Linked DNA regions of Caenorhabditis elegans. The protein of the gene in region 1 interacts with the protein of each later gene in a pairwise test. Each region holds a gene or a part of one and is shown in the gene's direction. Other genes may lie near its edges. The genes, in order: unc-62, ceh-60 and ceh-40.

The links.
Region 2: the proteins of unc-62 (region 1) and ceh-60 interact in a two-hybrid assay, tested with the Caenorhabditis elegans proteins (2 studies listed by BioGRID, with this or other methods).
Region 3: the proteins of unc-62 (region 1) and ceh-40 interact in binary tests that used the Caenorhabditis elegans proteins (3 or more experiments, as listed by UniProt).

Annotation. Positions count from the first base shown.
Region 1 is NC_003283.11:4,494,025-4,501,551, forward strand, and holds the start of unc-62 (Homeobox protein unc-62), read left to right. Parts: upstream 1-3,438; 5' UTR 3,439-3,442; coding exon 3,443-3,565; intron 3,566-5,305; exon of another isoform or gene 5,306-5,771; coding exon of another isoform or gene 5,772-5,783; intron 5,784-7,194; coding exon 7,195-7,376; intron 7,377-7,527. UniProt on the Caenorhabditis elegans protein: Acts redundantly with ceh-20 and ceh-40 to perform overlapping roles during embryogenesis.
Region 2 is NC_003284.9:6,525,100-6,533,028, reverse strand, and holds the start of ceh-60 (Homeobox protein ceh-60), read left to right. Parts: upstream 1-2,882; 5' UTR 2,883-2,943; coding exon 2,944-3,011; intron 3,012-3,623; coding exon 3,624-3,694; intron 3,695-3,893; coding exon 3,894-3,961; intron 3,962-4,475; coding exon 4,476-4,619; intron 4,620-4,757; coding exon 4,758-4,832; intron 4,833-5,374; coding exon 5,375-5,490; intron 5,491-5,971; coding exon 5,972-6,107; intron 6,108-7,929. UniProt on the Caenorhabditis elegans protein: Probable transcription regulator which binds to DNA, repressing genes involved in longevity and stress, while activating genes involved in reproduction, such as the vitellogenins.
Region 3 is NC_003284.9:12,316,133-12,324,033, reverse strand, and holds ceh-40 (Homeobox protein ceh-40), read left to right. Parts: upstream 1-3,256; 5' UTR 3,257-3,333; coding exon 3,334-3,425; intron 3,426-4,094; coding exon 4,095-4,374; intron 4,375-4,417; coding exon 4,418-4,492; intron 4,493-4,537; coding exon 4,538-4,789; intron 4,790-5,267; coding exon 5,268-5,510; intron 5,511-5,746; coding exon 5,747-5,794; 3' UTR 5,795-5,908; downstream 5,909-7,901. Other genes in the region: srd-40 (Serpentine receptor class delta-40), read right to left, coding at 1-295; F17A2.13 (uncharacterized protein), read right to left, coding at 1,256-1,512, 1,657-2,368; xtr-2 (MX region of TRA-2 Related), read right to left, coding at 6,361-7,103, 7,304-7,406, 7,454-7,819. UniProt on the Caenorhabditis elegans protein: Plays a role in regulating gene expression in dopaminergic neurons, acting redundantly with homeobox protein ceh-20 in head neurons.

The DNA of each region.
Region 1 (7,527 bases):
TTGATCTCATTAACTCGAACCATACATACCCTTTGAAAAAGCCCTCCAGAGAAGAATCCTGCTGAGAGCTTTTGTATCAATGTAGCTGCCAGCCATGGATACCAGCTACAAAAAGTCATATATCATGACAGATTAGGAGGGACAGCCGTCTCTATTCAAAAAGGGAGACCTTTTGAGAATCGCGCATCTGCCGCCCCCTAACCTCCAGAGCATTTTCAAATGCAAATCAGGTTGGGATGTTGATTCGAAGCGACGACTTGGTGTTGGTGGTTTTGTGGTTAGGATTTCGAAAAGTTTCCGGAGGGGCACCACTGAGTGGTTTTGGAGGTATGAGCTTCAAAGGATACTTGTGATTTTGGTTAGAAATCGACTTCATATCTGAAAATCTAAAACTCTAATGAAGCTGAGAGCTGGGAGCCTTTCTCAACTTTGGCAGTCTGTATTTCGGTTGTCTTTTGTGCTATACAGAAATTTCCAACTAACAAAATGTTTTTATTTCTTTTTCTGTAGAGCTCTAGTAATTTATTTATTGATTTCTTCAATATGAGCCGAGGTATAACCTTTCAAAGTTGACTAGTCGGTTGCATCTAGCCTCTGGATATTGTCCAGCTCTGTTTCAATTTTTAAGCGCTATGCGCTGCGGATCGGGGAGTCAGGTACCCCTACTGGGCTTTAGTTTAAGCCGTCGGATCCCAGGACTGTGGCCGATAATCTAGATAGCTCCACTTCCCAGTGAGCCTAGGGCAGGACTCGAACCCGTGATCTTTTGATTGCTAGCGATCACCATTACTCGCCGTAATTTGCCTTAAAATCTTTAAGCTTAACATAATTGTTTCTTAAATAGTTTTTGTATTGGTCGGCTTCATTCCGAATCACTGCTCTCTGTCGGTTCCCCGATCCCCCCTAAGGCTTAGAGGCCAGTCTAGTCACTTTTTGCTCCAGCCGGCTTGACCTAAAAATCATACACACATAAAATGGGCCGGCCTCCTCTTAAAATTGACAGATACATCTCATAAACCAATTAAGCGGCGTCTCGTTTACAACTTGACATAATGAGGTAAAATAGGGGGCGGTGCACCTGGCTGGGGGGCACACCAACAACGATTCAATCGAAATCTTTTTTTTTGTTGTGTTTCGTTAGCATTTTTGCCCCGGTGCCCACTCCTCCTCCAATTTTTTCGACGGGTTTCTATAGACCCCATCAATCATTTGTATGACTTGTCCGGTGCAAGTCCACGCAATTCTCCTTCCTTTTTTTGCCTCCGTCCCTCACTACCACCACCACCACCACCACCGACGACGAAACGTATCGATTTAAAAGGAGAGGGAAAAAGAGCGTGCGCGCGGGCCGCCCGTTTTTCAAATTTTGTTTCGTGTCCCCCCCCCCCCCCCCACCAACACCGGGCCGGCTGGTCGGTGGTTGTGATGGTGGTGGACACACGGGTTACTGTAGTAGGCATACACATCCCCTGGTACGGTATTTGGGGAGCCAGGCGAGAGAATCGAAATAGAAGCGAAGAGCAGGGGAGCAAGAGCATCGATTGCGATACGATGCGTGGAAGAAAAAACCACTGATAACTTTTTTTTTCGAATAATGTTCGGCGCACGTAGCAAAGAGCACACCGTAAGCTTATCAGTTTATACGTCAGCCTCGTTGAGCAAAGATCTGCCTAGGTTTTTGAGTATGACTATGGAGAAGAAAAAGTAGATCAGATTGGGAAACAAAATGGCAAAACTATGTACAAATGAATCAAATTTTGTTAGCCTCTAAATTAGCTTTTTTTTATTCACTCTATTTTAGAGACTTATATCTAAGTTGTCCTTAGTCTTATTAAAAAATGTTTTACTGTAAAAATGTAGAAAAATATTTGCACAAATTTTGTCAGTTGAAAATTTTTTTTACAAGCCCTAATGGGATCGAGTTATAAGCCGTCAAAGTGGAGCAAAAAGAGGCAAGGCGGATAGAGCAGTAGCTCTTTTGCATAGAAACAGTAGCTATATTGAAAATGGAAAGCTTGTAAAAAATTGGTTTAAAAATTTGTTAGCCTCATAATTTTGGCCTTTAATTTAGGCCTTTGATTAATCTTTTGAGCTGAGCCTATTACTCTAGAATTTTTGAAACAACTCAATTCTGTCAATTCAAGCAACAAAAGCACCACACGCTACCTTCCAGGAAATCTGAAATCTATAGGTTAATCTTCTTCCCGTGTCTACCATGTTACCAAACAAAGAAAAACAGTCTGAAACTTTATCCCACTTGACACCTCCTACCCCTCCTCTTCCATATGATCCTAATCTTAATCCCCTTAGAACAAAAGGCGACGTTAATAAAGTGCAGCTGGAGTATAAGTAGATGAGGGAAACGGGGGATGTGGTGCATTGAAGGGAAAAAATGTTGAAACTTTTGTATTTTAATGTTAGCATCTCTATGTCTCTACTCTCTGATTATTGATAAGGAAAATGTGTCAAAAAATGACTGTGCTCTCTGGAAGAGGCGAAAGGTTGCGATATTTTATTACATTCATAGGTGCACATTTAGTTGACAATCTGGAAAGTGTAGTTTCAGAAGGATCTTGTTTAATTAATTAATTTTTTGTGGAAACTTGGAAATAGCTGACTAGGTTTGGTAGAGCTTTTTTGATTCCTGATAATGAATTTGAAAAATTAGGACATTGTCCGCAATTTCCTTAGTAGGCTTGCACCCGTCTTGCTCCACTTTAACAGCTTCTATCTCAGCTCTCTTTGATTTTATCAGAAAAATTTTAACTGACAAAATATGCGCAAAATGTTTTTCTATATTTTACCAGTTAAACATTTTTTGATCCAATCAAAAGCAACAGAGATATAGGCCGTCAAAATAGTTTCTCACATTTTCGGTGGAGCAAATTTCTTTCAGAAACCGAACTCACTTTTAGATTTTTTTTTAATTTCCAAACTAGTCACATTTCCTCAGCTCATGCTCATTCACATGACAAAAAACTTCCGGTGAAACTGGCGGTATAATGAAACTTTTTTTTCAGTCTCATACCGTACATTACATAAACCTTATCAAATAAAAAGAAACTAGTTCCAATCTTCATTCTTTCCACTTTATTTTTCCTTAGCACTTACATTTTTTTTGTTCGAATTTCAAAAATATAATGAGAACAGCTTTGTGCACCTAGTGGGGGCAAAAACGAACAAAAGCAATTTATCTTCAATGCGGAGGACATTGGACACAGGACAGCAGCATGTAAACTTGAATTTGCCCTCCTGGTTCATCTCTTGCGGAGCCTATTTATTATTTTTTTTTTCGAATCCATCCCTTTTTTTTTGGTGTGCTTTTTGTGCTTTCGGGCCACGAGGACCCATCTGCTGTTGCTCACGCACAGACTCTTTTGATAAATGATAATGAGTTTCACGTTTTCTTTTTCAAAATTTAATATTTCTCTCTTGCAGGAACATGAGCGGCGACTCAAAAGTGTGGGCTCACGCGTCCGCTGACACTTGGGCTGTTCAAAATGGAATTTCGACGTACGATTTGGACACGTCGAGCATCAAACGAGAGAAGCGGGATCACAATGAGGTAAAATTTAAGAATTGGTTGTTGTTTTAATTTGCGACTAAATTTCCTAATTAAATTGATTTCTGAAAATTGAAAAAATTTTTGCCGATTAAAAAATTCTTTAGGATCTTCACATTGTAGTTTAAGAAATTCAAAAATCAATTTTTAGAATTAAAAATAATTTTATAAATCGAGCTTTGAAGGGTTTTGTATTGTCTGAAACTTCAAAACTTTTGGAATTTCGGAAAAAAAAATGAAAAAAATGTTCAAAATGAACTGTAATTTTTCAGTTCTGTTACGATAAAATGCTTTCAGAAAATTGATAAAATCTATAAAATCAAAATTGTAAAAATTTTAGAGTTTCGAAATTGGTTTTTCATTGAAATATAAATTTCAAGAAACCGGGAAAAAATATTGTAATATTTCGCAAAAATTTGAAACATCACATTAAAGGCACACATTGTTTTTTTTTCTGAGTTGGTCTCGCCACAGGAGCTAAATTCAACAGATTTTTTTTCATTTGACATAGGAAAACAAATTTCAAATTCGGAAATCCACTAAAAATTCAGAATTTATTATGAAAAAAGTATATTAAAGGTGGAATAGCGCCAGTGGGAATTTTGTCTAAATACACTTATAATGATCCAAAACGACCGAATATTATAATAAAACACCCCACAAAATTTTAGCTTTTTCATAATTTCCGTTCAAACTTTTGCCAAATTGCCAAATTTTTGAAAAATATGAGCTTTCGAGGAAATCCAAAGCAATGTCGCATGTTTCGCCCCCTACAATGTTTCAACACGAATAATTAAAATAAGCTTAAAGTGTAAAAAATGTAGGAAAAAACTTTTTTTGGTCGACTTCCAAAATTATGAGTAACAAAAACTGAGTAATTGTCACTTTTTGACCGCAAATAAAAAAATTTAAGAAAATTTTTGATTGTTTTGATGTTTTTGTTTGATGTGTTTGTTTGATGATGTTTTATTACGATATTCGGTCATTTTGGGACCATAGGAGTGGTTTTTAACAATTTCCCCATTGGCGCTACTCCACCTTCAACAACTACCATAAAAATCTAAGAACATATTTTTTGGGTTTACAACCTACCAGTTAAAGTTCATAGAGCTAGTTCCACACATCCACGATATAATATGCAATTTAACAGCCGATGATCCGATTATCAATATCAACAGCATAAAAGCAATAACAAAATCCTGATAATTTTCACACAAATTGTCCGCCGCTTTTATCTTTTCTCTCCTCATTCTTCTTCGTCTCATCATCGCTCCCCCCCCCCCCCCCCCCCCCCCCACCGACCGATTTATCTCTTTTAATCACATTAATCATGTGTTTCTTATCGAGGGTGGAAAATTGGAAAATTGATAGGCGACATGGAATTTGGCTGCCAAGAATCGGGTACTACTTGGTAGAAAATGTAAATTTGTGTTAGCTGGAAAACCTGAGGTCCCCCACACTTGACTTTTTGCCTCGTCTCGCTAAAACAAAAAAAAGAGGAAAATGCAATGCATGTATTTTTTCGTCGTCGTCGTCGTCGTCGTTTTCTTCGTGTTTGACTTCTTCTACTCCTCTCCAAATTTGCCTTCTCACCCTCCTCTCACACCCGGGGTCTACTGTACCGAATTGAGTGCCTATTGGCGCAATAGGGCGGGGCCCCGGCGCATCGCTCTCTCTCTCACTCACTCCTTCTCTCGAGGGGGGCTAACAGGGGAAAATAGACTGAGAGAGAGAGGAGAAGGCAAGCGAGTCGATCTGCCCCCCGGTTGCCCGTTTCTCTCTCTTTCGGTGGTTTCTCGTATTTTTCCCCCACCAGGGAGAGTCAGAGAGAGGGAGCCCCGCCCACATTCACCCCACCAACCCTCCCCCCAACGATCGGACAAGATTGACATACAACCGTTTTGAAGTGTGTGAGAAGTTGTCATTTTCGATATTCATCTGTCTGTCATATTATTTACGTTCGTTCCATCATCATCGACATCACACGCAGGGCAGAGAAGAACACACGCCGCCACCGCCGGCCCATCAAATCGGCACACTAATCAATCGATCAACGAGAGAAGAAGAAGAAGGGGCGGGCGACAAGCTCTGACCATCATCGTGTGTGTGACAGACTGACTGACTGACACCCCGTTGTGGAAAGAGTTTTCGATCCCGACACGACCATCGTTCATCTTATTCAGCAAGGCCCCGTGTGTCGGCAACGACGATGGCGCAGAGGGTACTTCTTCTTCTTCTTCTCCTTCATTCCGTTTCCCCTCTGCTTCTTCTGACTTTGACATGATACCAGAAAGAGCGCCATCCCTTTTTCCTTTTCTCCTCTATAATTTATCGTTGTGTTGGGTGGTGGCTCGAGCTCATTCTTGGGTTTCCAATCAGCCATTGCGCCCCCCACCGCGCCGTCGCTGTCGCTTTTTTCCCGCTTTCTAGATCTCAAAATTGCAATTTTTAGGTGTTCGCCTTGTTTTAAGCGCTGGTTAGTTACAATATAGTTTCCCAAGCTTCAGAATATAGAAAAACTTGACCCCAAATACCTCGAAAAGTCGTATCTCTGCTCATCTCTAGAAAATCAGTGAATATAATACTTTAAAACTATAGTTCTAGAAAAAACAAATATTTTGTCAGCTTAGAACTTTTTGTTTTAACTGAAAATTACAATGAGCTGCCAAATTGAAGCTACGGTCTGCAAGACTAACAGTTGCACCCCATCGTCCAACTTTGACAGCTTATATCTCAGTTTTCGTTCATCCTATATAAAAATTGTCAACTGGCAAAATCCGTATTATTTCTTTTTCTATAATTTTGTAGTTGACTATTTATTTATATCTTCTAATTGAACCGTGATATAACTTTTCAAAGTGAGGTAGTGAGGTGGAATACTATCGACTTTTGCAAATCGTTAAAATAACACCAGTGAATATTTCAAAATATAAGTACTTATATTAAGCCCCTCATTCTTAAATTTTTCCTTGCATCGATTAGTTTTAGTTTTAGTTTCCGAAGCCAACACAAGAATCACAAATAGTTTTACGATCTTACCGACAGTATCACTTTTTCTCGGGAATCATTTGAAAAAAGATAAGAAAATGTCCCAAATTCCACCCCTTTTCCCCGTCTTCCCCGCTGACTAATAAAACCCATTAAAATGATTTTGATGAGCTTGGGCTACTGCTTAGAAAAAATGCCTATGACCACCACCACCAATGGTTCCAAAAAGTGTCAAAAAATTGGCCTCTTTAGTTATCAATACAATTTATCAATTAATCAATTTGAGAGACAAGACACAGAAAAAAGAAAAAAGAAAAAAAAATAGGAAAGCGTGGTTTCAATTTCTCACTTTATCCTTCCACCGTTATCCCCGTTCACATCTTCTTTTACCCGAATCGGGGGGCCGAGAAGATTTATTTCGTCAAAAAATCCGCCTATCATCTTGCCGAAATCTGGAACGGCGCCCCTTTGTACCGAAATTTCGAAAAAAAAAAGATTTTGGAGGAAAACTAAAATTATTGATTTTTTTTTTGCAAAATTTTTGCTAGCCATGTCAGAAGAAGAGATAAGATTTTACCCATAAATCCCTCACATATTTAGGCGCCTTTTAATAAAATTATCTAATCTTATCCATATTTTTTCAGCAGTTCAACGATGGATATGGTCCACCACCGGGCTCGGCGAGCGCCGACCCAGCCAGTTATATTGCCGATCCGGCGGCGTTTTACAATTTGTACACGAATATGGGTGGCGCGCCGACGTCAACTCCGATGATGCACCATGAGATGGGTGAAGCCATGAAACGGGATAAGGAGTCTATTTATGCGTGAGTTTTTTTTGAATTTTAATTTTATAAAGTCTGCCTACAAGGCCTGCCTTGTGCCTGTTTTTTTTTCAAAATTAAACATTCAACAAGTCATCAAAAATTTGTGAAAAAAATTCAAAAGTAGGCGGTAGGCAGGCAAAACATAGGTCCT
Region 2 (7,929 bases), on another chromosome or scaffold:
AAAACTTGATTTTAAAACCTACGCAACCGGAAAATTAAAGATCACAAGATTTCTGTGAGGATCATAACGGGTGTAGGTAGCAACTTTATCTCGGTGTTTCCACATTTCTATTTCAGGCTTAAAAACAAAGTTGGTCTTTTTCGTTCTCAAGTTGAGCTCAAGACAGAAGTTGGGAAAAATATCATTTTCAGATTACCAGCAAACTTTTCAAAACAGAGCAGAAAGAAGAAAACTGATCATTCGTGATAAAATATTTAGTCTCCCGAGGATGAAAAGTTTAAGGAAGTTAACTTTTTTATCTGTTGTTAATAACCTATTTTTTAGATTGAGTATTCAACATATGTTAAAAAAAATGTTTTCACTTCAAAATTTGGAAGAAAATTAGGTACTTTTCCGATTTTTGCCCCCCAAAATATGTTTTACTCAATATTTCAATTTAAATTCACACGTGAATGTTTATTTTAATACTATTTCAAATTTTTAGGCTTAGAAAAAACAATACTAAGCCTGAAATTACAAAAAAGTTCACGTTTCATTAATGAAAATATCGAAACATTTTGGGGGGGCAGAAATCGGAAAAGTACCGAAAATTAACTTAATTAACTTGATAAGTTCAAAACTTGTCTGAATAAAGTAAAAAAACCAAAGATTTTTAAAAGTTATAAAGTGATGCTTTTTGATTATCTATCGTATCCAAACAGGTGGTCAGACAAAACAAACGACACCTCGTGAGAATATCCAGACAGCTAACAAGTGACTGTGAAACAAGGAAAAACTTCAGAACACATATTAACTGAAAAAAAAAACACTTAATTTTTCTTACTTTTCTCTATTTTGTTCTCAATTGATATCATCTCTTTGCCGCTGGTTTTTCTTGCTCTGACTCTGAGCAAGATTTTTATTGGCACGTGAAAAAATTGCATCATTTCAGGGCACCACTGAGCGTGGTCCTGTAGCATGTGACCAACAAAAATTACGAAAAGAAATTAAAAATTTGTTTACTTGAAATTGTTGTAAGTTATAAAAAAGTTCCCTACTCTTGATAAGAACGTCTTATGGAATTCGATATGGATTTTTTTTAATTATGTGTACATTTTTTTACCTAGATTTAGAATTTGAGCCGCGTTAGGGGGGGCTTTTGTGTAAAATTGATTTTTTACAGACGTACAAATCTGTACGAAAAAACCAAAAACAAAAATAGTAATAAGACGACTTGTATACGCGAAACGATAGAATAATTTTGCAAACAAAAATTCTCAGCTTCTGAAATTCTAAAAAAAACGAGTTCTCGCGTGTATTTCTCTCGAGCAATCACTTGATTTATTTTTTGATTGTTCAAACGTTTTTATTTTTCCCTTTATTTTAAACTGAATTATAACAACAATAATTAGTAATTCATAAAAACAATTTGAACTGAATACTAGCTCAACAACATCTGTAATTAGTGGAAATTTCTGTTTTAGCGACATAGTAATTTATAACAACGAGTGTTGTTCCGTTTTAAGTTGTATGACTTTTAAAAGTTGACAACATGCAAAAAAAGATTAATAACCATTTTTATAGTGCTGAAAAGACTAAATGTCTTGATAAAACTTCTCAAAATACTTTTGAATTTTTTTGAGATAAAAAAGGGTTAATTATTGTTTAACTACTTACAGTGTTAAAATAAGAATATTTTGAACACAAATGTAAAATTGAAGAAATAATTGTTTGTTTTATGTGAAGCATCTGATGGAGTCATAACTAACTACTGTAAAGTTCAAGACGATCAAATAGTGGCCTTGCAAAACTAATGGTATTATCCTCACTTCAGCTAGCTGATCCATTTAACTGATAGTCATAAAAACATGAGCAAGTGTATGATATATTACAAAATATAAAAAATGTGCTCGCATGTTTTTCAGTTGTGAAAACATAATCCTTGATGATATTTACCGTTGAGTAATAAGCCAAGAGAAAGAACAAGTGTAATGGTTTGGCATTTTACTACACAATCAAAGTTCTACTACGATTTCGGATTCCCATGGGTACCTTGTGTGCTGTTGTACTTTCATTGTATTATCTAGTTTTTATACACAAGTTTTGAAACATCAGGTAGATATGCAACAAAAAAACTATCCAAATGCAATACTTAAATTGAGTTTCGGTGATTGGCATGTAATTGAAAAGAAATCGCAACATTTGGGGAATGGTGTTATCAGTGTACATGGTGCACTTGAGCATGGAAGAAAAAACCACTAGAACCGTTCTTTTATCAGTTGAACGTGGTTGTTCAATTATTTTTTCCGTCGCTTTCCATATCGTTTTCTCTTTGAAATTTTCCAATTTTTCCTGATTTCGTAATATATGACAATTAAAATCATCTAATGAGATTAGTGAAGTGTTTGCTATGACACAAATTTGGGTTCGGTTTCTTTTTGTGTAGAAAGGGAAAAGGAAGAGGTGTCACGTAATAAGTCAACATTTATCCTTATGAATTTGAGCGACAGAAAAGGCGGCCCAAATGACAGTAATCCAATAATAATGTTTGCTCTAACAATATCAATAACCCAAATCTACGAGCTACTAGTGGTAGTCTTACTGTACAGTTATTTTCATTTATTGAACACATTTTTGGATTTTTTAATTTTATGTATAAAATTTTTTTGTAACATTTAGTAAAACATAAAATAATAAATAAAACATTTCTATGCATATTAACAAGTAAACTTGACAGGATTTTTTTTTCAAATTCATATCTTAGTAATGATCTATAAAAAATGATGAAATTAAACTCAGTTTTTATCAAATTACACCGATGAATAGAAAAGAAAAAACCTAGACAGAATTCGTACCACCTATTTTAGTTTTTTTTTTTCGTGATTTTTCAAAATTGTATTTAGACACATCACAGCTCTGTGTTGTTGCGTTCACAACCGAGTGCATCACACCGATCTTTGAGAGATGGATAATCTTATTAAGCAGCTCCAAATGAGCGTCTCAAGTGAAAACGTCGACAGGAATTTTATTGAGTGAGTTAAAAAAAAAACTTTTGAGCAGCAAAACAGGATTTAAAAATAAATTGACCTCTATGAAAAGAACACTGTTTAATAGATGTTGGCATGACCTATTTTTCAAAAATGTACATCTAAACGGTATTAGATAGGAATAAACTTCTAAGAAAAAAAGCAAAAAAGAAGAAAAATTTAGTTGGGTTTAGGCAAATCTTGATTGTTTGATATTCTATAGTTTGAATGTTTTCATAAGTGATATAAATGACTAATACATATGATCTGCAAAACATCCAGATCAGAGATTCGTCTAGGCATCGTAAGAAGTGTAGTTTGTGATTGAAGAAAATTTATAGAAATGAGAGAACCTGATTCAGATACCGATTTTTATATTTCTTATAAACTGGGTCGGGAGGTGAATCTAAACAGGTCATCTTCCTAGAAAATTTTAGAAAAACATCAGGGAATAGGTGAGACAGTTTTCAGTTCGAGTCATCTTACAAATGATGTGACATATGAATCATAACAGTAGATGCTGATTAAGTTTACACCCCTAGAGAACTATTAGTGAAGTGATGATCATTATTTTTTGTTACCGCTGAAATAGTAAAAACTTATATTAAAAAATTGCAGAAAATGCATCGAAATGAATCCCTGTCGCCGGATGCTTCACGAAGTGCTACTTGAAAGAAAAGACATTTTACGTAAGCAAAGAATGAAAAATCAAAAAGTTATGCAGATTTAGAAAAGGTGAAGGTCACATCCGGTGGTCTTTTACAGAATCAAAAGTTTATGACTATGATATAGCGAAAAGACTCTCTAGTTTAAACAAATTGAAGTTTCAAAAATAATAAAAAAACGGAAGTATGAAATGGATCAGAAATTAACACATTTACATTTCAGGCTCTCGGATGAACTTGGTTGCGTTGTATGATACAGATGAACAATCCTCCGAAATTGAGGAAATTCTCGTGAGTGAATAAGTTTTTAAAGTTACATGAAATAGTTTGTGACATTTTTCAATTGAAAGATGAAGCTTATTCTATGTTGAAAGGATTTACACTAATACTACGGAGCTAAAATAACCATATAGTATAGTAAAAGATTCAAACGATTTTGGCAAATTTTTAATTCAAGTCAAAAAATCGTGAAATCGCTGTTTTCACAAATTTTTTGGAAGTTGTCATTCATTTAAACACCAGTTTCTTTCAGTTCTACGGTCTATGAACTATTGTGTTTGCAATTTTTATATTCCAACACTGTTTGGGTTTGAAAAAACGACACTATTTCAAATTTCTCGATAAGTGGTGCAATCTCACTTTTTGACCCGACATAAAAAATTATCAGAATTTTTTTGAGAAGATTTAGTATGATATTCGGTCATTTCAGCGCCACAAACTGGTTTAAAATTATTACCCCATTGGCTGTACTCTTTTAAAACAAATCATTAGAACTGAAAAATTAGACAAGCAACAAAAATTGTAGGCTCAATTCGAAAATCCTACATTTCCGTTGGAAGAGGTCAACACTGAGAAAGACGAGGAATGGCAACCCTTAGAAAGGAAATATTTGGACGGAATTAACCGTATAAAAGAAGACACTATCATGAAACAAATTCAACTGGACAAGGTGATATTTCATATTTTCAAAAAAACAAACTGATGCGGTAGGCGTAACAAAATTTGACATTTACTCAAGCTTGTGAGAAGCTTTAAATCCGATTTTTGATTTGTAAATACTTTTCAAATTTAATTCAGAATATTTCAGGATATGGAAAAAGCCCTGACTAATAGCGAAGAAGTACTCAGAAATCATCGCGATTTTAGACCGATCGACGAAAAGGTAAAATAATTATATTAATTTGTAGAAGAGATATCGAGATTATTATTTGAGATTAGAGAGCAAAAAAAAAATAACAAAACACAAAACTGAAGTTGAAAAGTCAGGCGAACGAATAGAAGAATAGAAAACAACCAGCTTATTAATTTGTTGTTTGTGAATTTTACACTTTTGAATGACTTTTTCTGAACAAAAGTCAGTTTTTCTGAATCCTACTGTAATCCAAAAAAAAGAAAACTAATCCATTTTGGTTTTTCTTCAATTTTTGAAACGATCGAGATCATCACTTGTTGAGATTTAACGCAAGATCAGATCAAATTTTTTTCATTATAAATTTGTTTTTTTTTAAGTTAGGATTATAATTTTACGTGCAAAATTCAATATTCACAATTTCCCGTAAAAAACAAACACAAACCATGATAAATATGTAGAAACCCGTACAAATGTCACATATAATACACAAAATATGAACTTTTTTAAATGCTAACAAAGTCAATGTGTTTTCATTAGGTCCAAATTCACGAAGATTATTGAAAATGTTTCAGGATTTCTCTAACATTCGGCAAAGCATTTCCAAAAGGTTCGAGCATTCGAAAAATAACATTCGCGGGGAGGCAGCAACTAAAATTCTAGTTCTCCGGAGGGAGATCGAGCAGCAGGGGTGAGTTTTTGGATATTCCACCATTATTACATATATTACTATCATATCTCATTACCTAACATTTTAATTTGCAAGTAGACATTACGCTAGTTGACATTAATCCGAAATTAGAATAACTTCCGTGAGACTACTTGTTCCGTCCCTTGTGAGGTCTAGGTTTTGCAAGACACTCAACATACAAAATCATAAATTCAAAAAAAAAATGATGTGGAATACGTTCTCAAATCATGTTGCTTTTTAATAAACTTCGTTGATATTCCAGACAGATGAACACTGAAATGAAAAAGTTCATCGGCTTAGGAACTAAACATCTGAAATTCGTAACAATAATAAACAATTTGAAAACTGAGACAAACTTAATTCTTCACATGATTTGGATTCATATTCAAAACAACGCAGATCACATTTTGTCGGATTTCGTTTGAAACTAACTTTAACGCATGGATCATACAAATTGTTGCTGAAACCGATTTTGTTTCAGACGCAAGCGCCGGAACTTTGACAAAAACACGACGGACATTTTGCAAAACTGGTTCCACGATCATCGTCAAAATCCTTACCCGTCCGACCAGGAAAAGGCGGAATTAGCAAAACAGTGTAATATCAAAATTTCACAGGTAAGATCAGTTGTACGATTAGAAAGGTGTGTGATGCTCAATTTTGTTTTATAAAAAACAATGTCTGAATCAGACTAAATTGAATTATGTCGGTGACGTTAAAGTCTTAAACCTCGAAAGATAGAATATCCTCGAAAAAAATATACTGAACTGATTCAGACTACACATGAAGACTTTACTATTTAAACTAGTGTATGATTATTGGCTTAAAACTAGACTATTCAGCAAAATAGACCTCTAAAAAGAGAACATATTGAAATTATCAAAAGTGGAGTTATCAATTTGGAGCTTGACGACTTGCCGCAATTATAAAATAAACTACCAAAATATGCAACAAAAAATGATAGTTTTTAAAAAATCAACTACGGACAGATACGACACAGAAAACTGGGCAAAATTCGAGATTTTAGCTAAAAACAGTGTTTTTTTTTGACATTTTGAACCGCCATAAAAAATTTTAAAATTTTTTGATCAGTTTCTCTACGGAATTTGTTCATTTGAGCCCATTTTTGGCCAATACGTTTAAAATCGTCCGATCCGTTAATCCTCCTTTAATTTACTAGAGGTCTAGAAGAGAAAAATTTAGTAATGTTTGAACATTCTCAAAAAATCCAAATCTTTCAAAACTTGTTATTGCCGTTTGAAATTTCACGAAAAGAGTCACATTTCGCTAAAATGCCTAATTTCTCCAACTCGTCTATGTCACATCGGATGAAAACCACAAGAAAAAAATTGAACTATCACTTTTCATTGCATATATTGACAGTTTATTACTTACCTTTTGAGTTGCTAGGCACTTAATTTCGGTAATTTTTAGGTGTCTATTTTACTTAAAATGTACCTATCTACTTAGAATGTATCAACAAATGAATATATAAGTATACGGCTAACAGTGTGCAATACAGGGTTAAATAGTAGCTTGAAAAATCGAAGATTGAAACTAAATAAAACAGTACACAACCGTCCATAAAGATTTTTCAGACAGATTGATTTATGGAAATATAGATAAAAGTCTCATGAAAACATTTCAAAAGTTTTTTGAGTTACAACAAAATTGAAATTTTGGAATTTAACCCAGATAATAAAGACAATTTTGACCTAGAAAAATATATGAATGTCGTTGAGACTAACATAGAGTTTGCATAAAAGCCTTTATATTATTCTTAATAGATATGACTTTTTGATATTCACAGAAATTGCGATTTTTTTTTCAAAACTCTAAAACTATTAATAGTCAATCATAAAAACAAAAAAAATTATATCATTTGCGAACAGGTGTCATTGAACAAAACTTTGCGACCTTCAATTATATGCATTGTTCTTTTTTTGGAAAAAATGAACATGCGAAGCAAGAAGAAAACTAAGCTTTCGGGTTAAATATAAAAATTCTTGTTTCCACAAATTCAGAATTTTTTTTGAGATGAAGTGAAGTTAGTAGGGTTATAGTAAGAGTTATATGCAAACACCTGAACATCTTTAGATATTATTCTGTTGCAAGCTGTTGCTTGAAGCTTGAAGTCTAATTGGAAAATTGCATGTGAAAATTCAAGGAAATTGTGTATTGTGAGTACGTGGGCAGCAAAAAATAGTGAATCGTATTTTTAAAAGTGGATTACAATGTAATAAATATGTAATGGATACACAAGGTAATTTTTGAATTTTTGGTTTTAGCTTCATAGACAGTGTTCAATATGTTTTCCAAATTTTAAATGACTTTTCGATAAGTTGTATGATGCTTGGTGGAAGATTTTAAAGTTGATATCATTTTTCAGTGAACTAGACAAAGAAATCGGATTTTAAATGAAGTTAGACACAGCAAAAA
Region 3 (7,901 bases), on another chromosome or scaffold:
GTAAAACTTGATACATTGTATAACCCAGCCACGCTTCCAAATATCTTAACAGTCCGTAACTTCTCAGTTCAATAGGAATAGCAGTTGTAATCATTCGAAACTGAGATGAACAAGAAACAACGACTAGGATAATTTGGAAAAGACTTGTGTTTAACAAGAATACTTTTAACATTTTTAGATGTGTTGGGGAGTGGTAAAAAATTAAATAAATTAACATCAACTGTGTTATTGTTGAAAAAATGAAGAAAATAGGGTAGAAGATATAAAGCACATCCCGATAAATATCCGCTCCCATTCTGAAAATTATATATGATTTGAAACGCTGCATATAAATTGTTCACGAGGTTAAGTTGATATTCAGTTTGATTGAATTTCAGTAAATAAGATCAGAAAATGGAAACGTTGCTTTTAGCGGGTTACAAAATGAAAACAGGGCGTTTCGTAGCAGATGTTTTTGAAGAAATATGTTTTTTTGTCCAATTCTGAAAAGTGGCATTTCCAATAATGACGTGAAATCTTAGAATAATATTTGAACATTTAATCAGGAATTTCAACCAACTACGACAACCTGAGCAACAAAAAGATGGAAATTAAAAAATAAGTAGAAACCCGGTTTTCGTCCGCTGGAAAGCGCGGAACATTATCATTTCAAACGATTAATATTCAAAATAAATTATCAGGCACTTAATTTTTTTTTTTTCAATTTTGCAGAACCAATTTCGAGAATTTAGATTTATGAACATTTTGTGGTTAAATTGTTGCGCGAAACGTGCCTAAATTGTGTCTGAATGCTTTTTCAATTTGTTGTTGTGAATAGCCTTAAGTAGGTTCAGTGTTCAGTGGAAATTTATCAAATATCAAAGATTTTAGATGTTAGGCAATTAATATCAAAAGTCAACATAGATCACTATATATAATAGAATTCAGCTCATCCCTTTTTCTGTATTATGCCCAATAATATATTCATTATTGTTTTTATTTTGTCCACACATTTATGACAAGTTTGACTAACTATTGACAAATACTATCCAAATTTAATTACTGACTATGATTGTTTATTAAAACTTTACCATGAATTGGCAATTCAAAACATGTTTTAAAACGAAAAAAAAAAGAAAATATTGAAGGATCAAAAGGAAAACAAAAAAACAATGTGAAACAACGAGATTCAGGTAGACATTAAAACTTCAGAAATTTGACAAGAAGTAGGCGGTGGAATAGCTAAAGATTAAAAAAGACTATGTCAAAATATCCACTAACAGTTTTGACTTTGCAACTTTTTATGGTACTTGGCAGCAACGTATTCCTCGTGAATCGATAATGACTTCTCATCGACATCATCAAGAAGATCAAAAAGAGCACAGCACAGTGCATCCATTTCTTTGTTTACTCCCTTCTTGCAATTTTCATAGATTGTCTTGAGAACATTTACGCGTTCATCGTGTGGTGCAATGATCGAATTCAATGTGTCCAAGCGCATCTGTGAAACCGATGCCGCAATTGATCGGAGTGCTGAAAATTAAACAATATTAGTGATAATTAGACACTGCTCTAAACGAAATATAAATTTTGCTTGCATGTTGATAAACAGTTCCGCTTGCCATTAAACATCAGTTTCTCTAATAAAATTTATGTTCAAAATTTAGAAATGCTTACTCTCTGATTTCCACTTGAAGTATGCTTCAAACTTGTGGTGAACTTGAGATCTCGCCAATTTGCAGTAGTACAGTTCGTTTACGAAGTTGCTATTCTCAGGTTCTGGTTTTTCCGTCTTACTGAGAGACGATGAAGCGGAGCAATGAGAGCTCTCCGATGAGCATGACGACACTGACGATTCTTGTTTTCTTCTTGACATGATTCTCGTCTCACGACGAGCTGGAGATCTACTCTCCACATCGAGATTGTCTTTTTTGATGTGAGACTTGATAATCGTTAGGCCAGAAAATTGGCGGGACAAAGATCGGAGAATGGGGGTCTCGACTAGTTCCTTTGCTTCGTTCTCGTTTTCATAGAACACCTCGTCGTTTTCATTTTTAGCATTCTCCTGCTCGTCAAAATTTTCTTGAACATCTGCCTTTTCTTCTTCTTCTTCATTTTGGCTCTGTTTCAGAAAAGACTCCTTCCTGAACACAGGACCATCGCACACATCTTCTCCTTGCTCTTCTTTTTCGGTCTCATCAACAGTCTCATCGTCAGTTCCGCCACTTTCAAACTTCTGCACCAATCTGCTCACTTTTCGGAGGCTATTTAAAGTTTCATCATGAAAGGCTGACTTCTTTTTATCTTTGTTCGGGGTAAACATGATATCCTCCATCGCTTGCCTATAGATTCCAGCGTTGGAGTAGGAGAAGTCATTGCAACACGACATTGTTGTACTGAAATTTAAAAAAAATTATAGGTATTGTATAACCAGTTGAAAAATTGAGAACGTTAAAAAAATGTGGAACAAAAGAGTAAGATTGAAAAAAAAAAGTCCAAACAGTTGTTTTCGAGACGGAGAATAATTGAGAGTGTAAACAGAAGACCATTCGTTCAAATACAAAATGAAGAAAACGAGGAATTAGATATTTTTACACTTATTTATATCGATCGATATTGCTAACGCGACATTAGACTCTCATCCCACTCCTTTCCCGACTCTTCAACCCATAAATCGTCAGAGGAAAACAACATGTAGCAATGGGAACATTGACACCCTTCCAAGTTTGGCAGATAATCTTTGTTGACTGCAAAACTAATAACTAAAAACTGCAGCTTAACAGTGAAATCAGAAAAAATTGCACCATTTAATTTTGTTCTGTTGTTTCTACAGGCTTCTTCAAAAAAGTGACTGTCCACTATCTTCAGATTTAATTGAAAAAAAGCATAATTCAAATTTGGTTACTATATAACGCAACTTTGCTTCTGAGAAAAAAACAATAAAAAATGCATTAACTTGTAAGATTGAGAACACAAAAAAAAACGATTAGGCAACATTAAGAGCAAGAAAGAGGAGAACAATGGGCGAATAATCCAATATGTGGGAAACGGCATCTGTTGCAACTCATATCGTGACTGAATATCGGCTGACCTTCCCATCTCACCGCACAGTTGCGCTCATTACGCAACGAACGCTTGCACACAAAAAAGTATTCGATTGACTCGCCCAAACTGCGCACATCATTTACAACCACTTGCGTTGCGTGCACCGATACTGTCTGTCAACCACAATTTGTCTTTATTCTTGACAACGTTACGTTTTTACCCCACCTCTCGCTAATGTGTCCGTCTCATCAACATTTTATCTCCAATACGTTTCCTGTCATTTATCATTAATTCTGGTTTATTGTAGACATGAGTGAGGCGTCAAAATCGATTATGGATCTGCTGTCAGAAGTTGTCAAAATTACCGACATGACTATGGATAATGAAGCTGTCAATAAATTGTGAGTTAGATTTTTGCTTATGTGCTGCCATAAATCGAAGTTTTCAAAAAAAAAAATCAACAATCGTTATGTGATGGTTTGCGCTTGTTTTTTCTGATATTCCTATAATAAAAATTCTCAATATTGTTTCATGGGCGTGTTGATGATATAAGTATTCAAATCAAAATTATTAATAAGTTTCAAAATTTTGGTCAATGTTTATAGATGTTGATAACAAATGTTCATTCATACTTAAAATACTTTGATTAGTTTACGACTCAAGAAAAAATAATGACAAGATATGCTTTTAAGCAAAGTTTCGTAAAACATCAAATGTTTAATTTTTTTGATCAGCTTTTGTAGGCAATAGCCTGTCTCTAATTTCTTTATTTGAACAGTACCGCTCCTTAAAACATTGCTCTAGTTCAACTATCATCACAAACTTCTTGAAAACTATTTTTTGGAAAAACTTTCTTAAGCAAACTCTCCGCTGGAGTGCTTATGTTTTTCTTTCAACTTCAGTATTTATCATAATATTGTTTTGGTAACTATACATTTATGGAGAAGTTGCGATAAGATGAAAACCAACACTAGAGATTACTATCAAGATACAAAAAAGAAAAGAGGATATTCACTTCCTCCTGAAAATAAAAAATAAAAAATTGTCAAAAGTATTTATGAATTTTTCAGAAAACCACAAATCAAGATCAATCCATTCTACCGAGCCGTACAAGATGTTCTAGTTGAGCAGAAGTCCAAAATCGACCTATCGACAAAGATGATGAAGGATCTTGAAGCACAAGAGAATGATGAACGGCTGGATACCATGCTCAAAGCAGAAGGAGTTGCTGGACCCGATGATAGTTTGTTGCGTATTCAGGAAGCTGCTGGAACTGACCAATACGAGTATCGTCAACAACTTTTGAAAGTGAGACGAGAGCTTGAAAATGAGACAAAAGCGTTTGACAAGGTAAGATCGTCTCATATATCACCAACCAATATACAAATTTCAGCACTGCAAAAAGTGGTGTGAGTACGTTGAAGATGTTCTCCAGCAACAAGGAGAATTCCGTCCAATCACCCAACAGGTAAGCCATAAATCTACCGGTGAAAAGATTAAACCAATTTTTCAGTCAACCGAAAAGTTTATGAACAAGATGTCCGGTAAATTTAACAAGGTCTGTTTTGTACTAAAACAGACTGCCTGCGAAGAAGTTATCCAACTGAAAAAGCGTTATCTGGATGCTCGTCGAAAGAGAAGAAATTTCTCGAAAACTTCCACCGAGATTCTCAACGAGTACTTCCTAGCAAACATCAATCATCCATACCCGTCGGAAGAGGTCAAACAGGCCTTAGCTATGCAATGTAACATTAGTGTTGCTCAGGTAAAATTGAAAATACAAAATTACATACTAAAAAATATGCATAAAAAACTTTTGAAGAATATTACGATTTGCATGAAGATAATATTGATAAGGCCTAAATTAAAAGCTCGCTAAAATGCGCCATCATCACCATTTGCGTCAGCTGTCTCCTATTAATATTTGCGCGGGAGTTTTGAATAGGAAATGTTGAAACGGTGTTCAGAATTAACGAATGCTTTAGTAGTTTCTAGAAAATGGGAAGTAAGGTTTTCTAAAAGAAACGCAAAACTAGTTCATTATTCTTTGGAATATAATTGTGGTTACATAAAATAATCGCTGTTCTATAGACACGAACCTAAAAATTATGCAACTTTTTTAAAAACTATTTTTGTCACTGTCAATATTGTCAGTGTTTCTTAACACTCTATCACTCTATTTGAAAAAATTTAGTCCCAGATATCTGCATACAATCTTACAGTAGTTTACAGTTTATTTTCAGGTATCAAACTGGTTTGGAAATAAGCGAATTCGCTACAAGAAAACAATGGCTAAGAATGAGGATGAAAGAAGAGAAAACAGAAAACCAGAAGATCGCCCTCCGCCTGGAGCTCCTGGAGCTCCGTATAGTCTGGTACCCAACGCGTTTGCAGGAATGATGAACCCATATCAGATGATGTTACCTGGTCATCAATTTCCCATCGGTGTTGCCCCTTTCAATTTTTCCATGTACAATCCTGAGATGGTAAGTTTTCATTTCAAATACTGTGAACTTGCAAAAATAGAGCAATATATGTAGTTTGTTTCAAAACCCGGATTTTTGTTAAACTTGAAAAAAAACTCGTTCTTGGATACATCAAATTCTGGAAACGATGTACTCCAAGTTGCGAGCAGCTGGAAAAGTTGAGAAACTAGGTTTTTTCTTACTGCCAGATTTTGAAATCATGCATATTCCGAAAAAAACAGTTTTCTCATTTTCAGATGGCCCAATATCAACAGTCTCTACAAAACCCAAATCAAACTCGATGACAAACTTTAATAATGCTGGTACTGAGTACTCATTCATACATTTGCCATGATGTTATAAAGTAATAAATTCATTGAAATACATCCTGTGTTCCATAAGATGTATTACTTTTTTAAGAAATTTATTTGATACTGACCAATGTTTTTGGCTGCAAAATGCAACATCACAATTTTTAGACAAGGGCTTACAATATAAATGAGGTAACAAGAACAACATAACTATTCACAGAACAGGAGATTTTCCTGAAGCGTTTTTAAAAATGTTGAGAAAGTGGTGATATTGAAAAAAAAGTTGAAATTAATTAAGTTTTTAAGAACTCAGGCCAGTTATATCCATAACAAGTAGTAGTATGAAATTTTGGTGGAACTGCGAAAATAACATGCTGAAATTGGAAACTAATGTAAAATTATATTATCTAGCGGTTAGAAACAAAATGGTGAAATGAAAATCTATGACAACCATGAAGTGGAGAGGTATTGAAAATGATCCGAAGTATAGGGAATTGATTTGGTCTGATATGATCCTATTTAAACATTTCCACATTTTGCTGAATACTTTGATATTTTGATTACTGCCTACGTGGTCCATTGGGCACAAGAACTCCGGGAGGAACATCAACTGTTCGCTCGGTCCAAAAACGATCTTCGGAATATTCGATCATCGCGTAACTGAACGCTGGTGGGTACAAATGGGCTTTTGGATGCTTCTCTGGGCAGTTTCGGGTGAGCTCAAGAACTTCTTCTATTATGGGAGGTTCGGTTTTGTAGTCCCGTGGAACATTTCTGACGAAAGTTCGGTCATCATTGTTTAATACTCTTGATTTTTTAACCAACAAAAATCGATTATCAAATTCAGTTAGAGTCCCTCCATCTTCATAGAAATGATTTCTCCTAGCGATATTTCTGGCGTAATTGACAAACTGTGCATCACGAGACATTGTTGCTTCATCTTCTCCAAGACCTAAGGTACTCGACAAAATCACTTCTCCAAATAAAATATCTATTGGCTTGTTCTTGTTTATGATGTAGATTTGGTATTGGTAATCAACGTGACGAACAGTCTGGACTGCAATGATTTTTTGCAGGCTTCCTTTATACATCACAAAACGGTCAGTGTCACTTCCTTTAACATGTAGTACGGTGTAAGGCATACCCGTCACGTCTATCACATTTCCATTATCATTTTCTACTGTTTCCGTTTGAGGTTTGTCCATTTTTTTATGCTGCTCAACTTCAATTGGATTTCCATCAGTTATTTTCTTCTTCTCCAGACTATCCAAAACCGCTTGAACCTCCTCATCGCATTCACCATCTGCAATTATTGAAAAAATCTGATTGGCTTCTGAACCTTAAAACGCTATTCTTTTGCTCAGTGCACCAAAACCCCTAATCTTATGACTGTAGTAAAACTCTAAATATTTCGAACTTTCTGGGAGGTGGAAAGTCTTAATAAACTCGATTAAAAAAAAAATATTTGATCTACTCTCTTGTTTCTTATTTATTCAAACTTACCACTATCTACATCTTCCTCTTCGCTTGTTTCGGAATCATCCAATGATTCATCGCTGCTACACTCATCATCCTCCACTTTCTGCTGAGCTCTCAAGAATCGCGGCTAAAAACTTATCCATTTTTCACAGAACAAACTTTTCAATAACCTACACTTTTCCGAATAACTCTGCTGGACTCTCCAATTTTGGCACTGGCGTAGTTCTTTGCCATAGGACTGTGGAAATACTCATAGTTTGATGAACCATTTTGAACGTCCTTCTGGTACTCCATCATTTTTTGTGGAAAGTTGAATTTAAATGGCTCATGCTTTGAACGCTTTGAAGGATTATTTGAGGCTATTGGAACACTGTTTTCAATCGGTCCAAAATGTAGACCGGACGGAGAATCGGTAGGTTTGATCAAATGATCTTTTGACGCGCGTCGTTTGTAGATACTTGGCGGAAATGGCTTCTTGAAAGCCTCATCTTCTTTCTGGTCCGTTTTAATGTTTAGATTTTTGAGATCTTCTAGTGGAATCTGAAAATTTGAATAGGTTAAAAATGATATATCTGATCAAAAACAGTATACACCCCAAAAATTAGGGTATCTTATTAACTCC